Linked DNA regions of Daphnia pulex. The protein of the gene in region 1 purifies or fractionates together with the protein of each later gene. This does not show direct contact. Links are inferred from orthologs where the notes say so. Each region holds a gene or a part of one and is shown on either strand. Other genes may lie near its edges.

Evidence for each region.
Region 2: the proteins of FGFR1 oncogene partner 2 homolog (region 1) and programmed cell death protein 10-like purify together in Homo sapiens (affinity purification with mass spectrometry; 3 studies listed by BioGRID and IntAct, counting the BioPlex papers as one, with this or other methods). This does not show direct contact. The link is inferred for Daphnia pulex from reciprocal best matches to the Homo sapiens genes FGFR1OP2 and PDCD10.

What each region holds. Positions count from the first base shown.
Region 1 is NC_060024.1:10,465,281-10,468,529, reverse strand, and holds FGFR1 oncogene partner 2 homolog, read left to right. Parts: upstream 1-952; 5' UTR 953-1,053; coding exon 1,054-1,067; exon of another isoform or gene 1,068-1,202; intron 1,203-1,362; coding exon 1,363-1,516; intron 1,517-1,583; coding exon 1,584-1,835; intron 1,836-1,914; coding exon 1,915-2,040; intron 2,041-2,117; coding exon 2,118-2,234; 3' UTR 2,235-2,534; downstream 2,535-3,249. Other genes in the region: protein inturned-like, read left to right, coding at 48-159; chymotrypsinogen A-like, read left to right, coding at 3,110-3,249. UniProt on the Homo sapiens protein: May be involved in wound healing pathway.
Region 2 is NC_060025.1:9,340,559-9,343,790, reverse strand, and holds programmed cell death protein 10-like, read left to right. Parts: upstream 1-989; 5' UTR 990-1,329; coding exon 1,330-1,350; coding exon of another isoform or gene 1,351-1,354; intron 1,355-1,415; coding exon 1,416-1,742; intron 1,743-1,800; coding exon 1,801-2,142; 3' UTR 2,143-2,501; downstream 2,502-3,232. Other genes in the region: group XIIA secretory phospholipase A2-like, read right to left, coding at 3-115, 177-348, 413-480, 549-792; probable RNA-binding protein 46, read right to left, coding at 3,154-3,197. UniProt on the Homo sapiens protein: Promotes cell proliferation. Modulates apoptotic pathways. Increases mitogen-activated protein kinase activity and STK26 activity. Important for cell migration, and for normal structure and assembly of the Golgi complex.

The DNA.
Region 1 (3,249 bases):
ACTTTTACTTTTTCTTTTTGTGCGTGGGTGTCGGATTTTAATTTTAGGAGGCTGTTTCTATCCCCTGTTCATCGGGAGCTGTTCATTTGCCACCAAGATGGCGTAGCACAGGATATTTTGGATCTTGCCTTCCATTTAGCATTCGGAGCCGTCCTTTAAAATAGATTTTCCTGGATACTCATCGAATTACTACAAAAAAATGTGTTTTCCTATTATAGTGTGTGCTCGTTTCTTGTTATTTATTTTATCCGCATAATGTGTATGCCAGGGCATGGCCTACTCTATGGTTAAGGCCTGTAGACTTGTATCCACTGCCATGAAGGCGAGAGGCGTGGCCAAATTCCCTAGCCCTGTCCCTGTGAGAGCCAATCAGGCGAAAAATGGAGGTTACAACTTCGCCATCTGGCGTTTTAAGATGTAAATCTCGTTGTAAAGTAATGAAGGCGTAATAACAAATTGTTAGATGCCACGAAATGCGTTTTTCCTACTAAGTTCAACAGCAGATGTTGAGGAAAACGACTAAATAGGATAAAAAGGACATGTGCATAATTCCAGCAAAATTTTTCGAATAAATTATTCCGTGAAACACAACCTTTGTTATAAACTGCAAATTAAAAAGATACCTCCCAACCGAGAATTGAACGCCGCGCCGTGGTGTGGTAGCTGACATTGCTATCCATACGGCTACCACTGCTATGAAACACTCGAAGAAAAATTTATTATATCTAGCTACCTAACCATTCTAACGAGATAGCAGTATTGAACGACAGATGGCGAAGTTGTAGCCTCCATTTTTCGTCTGATTGGCTCTTGCCCGGGGAAAGGATAGGGAATTTGGCAGATCCTCTCGCCTTCATGGGGCAGGATTCAAGTTTACAGGCCTTAACCATTAAGTAGGCCATGGCCAGGGGAAGCCTTTTCCCGGGCGCACCTTTAATTTTTCTCGCCAGATGTCGCCACGATCGAATGTTGATTATTTATTTTTTCATGAGATATTGTAATCTGTTGTTTGCTGATATATTTCGAGTTGATGAAAAGTAAAACATAAATCGAATGAAATACGAAAGGTAAATCTCTATCATGTCCCTTTTATCACCGGTTTGTTGTCGTGATAAGAAAATCAGTTATTTGCTCGAAAAGGGTGTCGGGATAACAACCAAGCAAACACGTTCGTAGTTTGCGTGGGCCCAGTTATGAGATTTGTAAGTTGTTGAATCGACATGGAAATCGATGAAAACTATCTCTTCGATTAACTGATCGATGCACCAATGTTTATAGTCTGCTTCAGATGCCATAACTTTTTTAACTTACAATAAACTCACACTTACATACCAGTTCTGCTGTTTTTCTATTTCCATGTAGTCCCAAGCAGGCAAACAAAATGTCTGTGTCTGTTCAACAAATTCTTGCTGATGCCAAACGACTAGCTGGACGCCTGAAAGACCACGACTCCTCTGCAGATTTGCTTCTGTCGCAAGCTCAGGCAATGTTTTGTCAAGTGGATGCCATGAAAGAGGTACACGGTTGGGGGTTGGTGATAGCTTGTGGCAGTAATTTTTTTCAAATTATTGCTTCTTCTTTAGTACCAAGAAGAATTGGTTGAATTGAACACAGCTGCTCATCAAAGACCACATTTGGATCTCATAGCCAATATTCAGCAAGAAAACCGACAATTGAGAGCTTTAGAAAATGAAAACAAGGAACTCAAGTCAGCTCTTGAAGAGCATCAAAATACTCTTGAGCTTATAATGAGTAAATACAGACAACAAATAAGCCGTTTACTTGAAGCAAGTCACACAGAAAAGAACTTGGTTCATCTTCTCCCAGACACAAGAGTAAATAATACCTAATAATTTATTAATAATCTTACATGGCATGAGATTAATGAATTCCTTATTGTGATGGTCTATTCAGAAGGCTGAAGAACAGGCAGAGAAAATCAATGACATGATTGGGGTCATGGAGACAGCTATAAAGTTGGATGACAGTTATGTACAAAAGGAAATTGAACTGTTTTCAAAATTGACAACTGAAAATCGGGTAACCAGAAGAGCTGTTCGGAACGTCTTTTAAATTTTAACGTGTAAATTTCAATAATTTTCATCATTCTTATGCAGGGACTGAAAGAGCTTTTGGACATAGCAAGTCATAACGGGTCATTGAGAAACTCTCTTCTGGGTATTAAAAGCGAGGATAAAGAGATCCAAGCCGATGTTTCTTGTTTGAACCCTTGATCTCCGAAAAACAAAGGAAAATCAAATAGCGTTACAAAAAAACAAACATACGATAGATTCGTTAATTACGTTCGCAATATATAATTAATTATCTATACCTTAAAATCTGAAGATTCTTCGTCACATGATACTTCTCCTCTATACTTTGTCCTCTACGCTTTCCTTGCACGATGTTTCACTTTTATCCCGTGTATTAATTAAAGTTTCAAATAACTCCATAAATTTTTTTTTTGTGTTCTAAAGAAATAACTAGATGTTGCTTGGCTATAGGTTGATTGCAATAAACTCGTGTTTCATGTCGTTGACTCTCCTGCCAGCGTACTCATCTTCAATCCTCACATTTAAAACCTTTTTCAACCCTCCGAAGGTCACCAACCCGCAAAGTCCAGGTATGCTCCCCCGACTAATATGTTGTTTAAAATTGTGGTATATAGTTTAAATACTCGAAAGACCTTGAGAATGGTATACAACTGGACCAAGTTTTACCAAATTTGTGTACACAAACCAATCCAGGTCAAAGTTTTCTTTTATTACTACAGGTAAAAACGGACAAAACAAAATTACTCTCAACCCGAGAGCGCGAAAATGTATACGTGTTTCAGTTTATGTGGAAAGTTCTATTTATTCAGATCGACAGTGTCCTCGTTGCGTTGTGGTTTGTGCGCCGAAGAAGACAATCACCCGCAACAGAAAAGTATTTTGCAAATGCAAACAGTTTTCAAATGTTGCGTGAAACCGCGTAACTAGTGACGTCTTCACCGCGGCACTTGAGTCAATATTAATGTCCTGTTATTAACGGCAACCCTATCCACCGCATCACTCGGGAGTCATACATATTTATAGGAGCCGGATTTAGATTGGCAGTTCATTACAACATGAACGTTTTATTCATGCACACCGCCTCGTCCCGTCTGTTCTCCTCTGTTTGGGTGATTGCCCTGCTGTCAGGTTGTCTGGGCGAGCTGAGACCCGCTTTGCATATCAACCAGACTGTTCTGAGCATCAGCGACAATAA
Region 2 (3,232 bases), on another chromosome or scaffold:
TTTCAGAATTCATCTCTTGCATAGCACTGACAGGCCTTATTCTGTGCTTCTCGATAAGCCTGGCATCCTAAAGCTAATGTTCCTGTGTACATTAACTTTGCAGTCCCTTTGCAGGCTGAACAGAAAAAGGACATTTACTAACATTTTTAGAAAAAAAAAAAAAATTACATTATTACCTTTCATGAACAGCAATGATAATTCTTCTTCATGATTTGAACATACTTTGTAGAGGCACTTTTTAAAATGCAAGTCACACAAATCTTTATCGGCTCCACAGTCATCATAGCAATAATCGTGGGTGTGACAGCATTCTTCTAACTCTTTTAAAGGCAGTTTCTCTTCTTTCCACTGATGATATTATTAGCACAAGAGATTAAATAGAACCAGCACACACAAGGATTTCTTCATTTACCGTATATCCAAATGATCCACATCCATTACTTTCCGGTATGTGCAAAGGATTTGCTTTTCTGATAAATCCTTCAACAAGAAACAGCATCAAGAAGATATTTTAATCCAAGCAAATTTGTTTTTTTATGTAAATTAACCTTTTGGACACGTGTATGGCTCACAATCTTCATCGATAGTTGCGTCAACAAACTGTTCTACTACTTGAATCGTTTTGGCCAACTTAGCAAGCCCATCAAGCCCAGTATGCAAAAAACTTTTAAGGTTGTGCATTGCATTTTTGATTTCATCAAAATAACTTTTTTGTCCGTCGACAAATAAAGCAGAAATGGTCACGAATACTAAAAGAATTCTGATAACTCTTGCTCTTGGAAATGATGACATTTTGAACTAGAGCGATAAGCGTTGCCAGTACGACTGTAAAAAAATTAAACAAAAAATTTATTTCACCAAAAATATAAGAAATCAAATAATATTTTAAAATTCAATTTAAACGTCAAAATCATTAAGTTATAAAAATTAATAATCAATAAAGAATATATTCATTGTGTTTCCTCATTTCAAACAAGGTTGCCTTTTGAAATGAAGTAACAGAACTACGTACGTCAGATCAGATGGTTGAGCGTTATTCCTTTTGCTTATTTATTTGTAAGTGATATGTTTTGTTTATCTTAGATCCAACTGTGAAATTACTACACTGGATATCTCTGTTTCCTTTTCCAAGGTTTTCTTACCTTGTTTAGTACAAACACTTGTCTAGTGGCTTACTTTGATTGAACTCATTCGATCTAGTCGATCAACACACTCGTATTTACTTTCTCTAGACAAGCTAGTTGTAGTTGTGTGTGCAATTTTTCAAGAAATTACGCGATATCCCTATGGAATTTAACTTCTAGTGACACTTATTCTTATTCCAACATCATGCTAAAGCATTTATCAAATGCATGTGACTTTTTTAAGGCTTAAAGTCGCAAACTGTATCTCAACTAATTATCTGTTTTAAATAGGTAATTAAAGTGGCAGAAGCTTCTACAAAGATGACTATGGGAGAAGAAAGCATGTTGTCTTCTTTAGTGTTGCCTATTTTGGTGGGCCCATCTCTGGTAAACTTGGAGAAACAAGATCCAGGTGCTGCCCAACTGCTGAAAGCTGCCTTTAGTAATGCCGAATCTGCCCATCCAGGCCTCTGCCACAGTTTCATTTTGGGACTGATGAAAAAGGCAGAATTGTCACAAAAAGTCAACATGAATGAGAGTCTTTTAAGAGTTCAAGGAGCAGCCTTGGATCAAGAATCACCTGATTACAGAATTAACCGCTCTGAAGATGCCTTTCAGGTAGCTCCGCTTTAAATATCACAATTTCAAATACTCATGATAGCCCCTTACTGAACAGGAACTGTGTAAGAAGTCAGTTGGTTTGAAGAAGATCCTGAGTAGAATCCCTGATGAGATTGGAGACCGCAAAGCCTTTCTGGAGACTATTAAAGAAATTGCAAGTGCCATAAAGAAACTGCTTGACGCAGTTAATGAAGTGGCCGTCTACATAATATTCGGCTCGGGAAAACAGCGCCTGGAACAGCGAAAACGAGAATTCGTCAAGTATTCTAAACGGTTCAGCACGACGTTGAAAGAATACTTCCGCGATGGACAAGCAAATGCTGTCTTCCTGAGTGCCCTCTGCTTGATACAGCAATCCAATTTCATTATTACAACCGTTAAAGATTGTTGTGAATAAGTTTTGTTAAAAAATCTTTCAAGCTGCGGTGAAGGTCGATGCTCGGAGACGTCGCAATTCGGTAGCGGTTTAAGTGGTGCTTCACACACAGTCGTGAATATTTATATTTCAAAAAATAAAAACACAACTTAATCCGTTCTTTCATCGTTTTACACCGTCCATTTTCAGATCAGGTGTGAGTACCCTTGAGGGGGTTGTCTGCATCTCTTCACCCCATTTTTTTTTCTCTCTCTCGTTATCTTATCATCCACAAAATCCTTATTGCTCGCCACCTCCTAGACCGCTCCTAATGATGAAATCCGTTGCATGTTATCCTAGCCCGACCTAACATTCCAGAGAATAAACATTGTTGAACTTTCTATAAGCAGTAATTATAAGCCTGTTTATATATATGCGGTGGTTTCGTGTTATATATATAGTTAAAAAGTATAGAATACACAGTATATCTTCGCAGTCTAACATAAATGTTGAGATTTTATTTGAATAATACAGACCAATTCAAATGTTCTAATCTTTTCTCTTTTGAGCTTCTGAAGAAACACCTTCGAATTTCAAATGTTTTCATTGGTTAGAGCAATCTGTTAAACAGTTTTACTAGCAAAAGGAAGCATGTGTAGCTTTTGAGAGCAATATCATAAACGAAGGGATAACTGCACGAAGAGTATACAGCCAGAAATAAAATAAAACTTGAAAAGTAAAATGTAATAAGGAAAAAAAAACGAAGAAAGTTTCTTCCAATAACAAAAAGTACGCTGTAAACTGGGAGCGGTTTGGCAAGTCTCAATAATAAGCCATTTAAAACAAAAACAAAAAGTAGAGAAGAAATCTACTCGAACAAGTTCCGGAGGATTACGATAGCAATGATTGTTTAAAGTTGTTTAAGTAAACCAAGAAAATGACGTCATAGCAAGAAAGAAAGCTCGTAGTGTAAATTCTAGATTACACTGCAAATTATCAGTATTTTCCGCGTCAACTAGACTGACGGAAAAGGACAATTTCCAGGTGGGGAATTTAAATAGAAAGATTTTCAACCTGAACAGACAGTGGAGTTTCACCTATGATCAAAAGTACAAATCCATTTATTATTGAG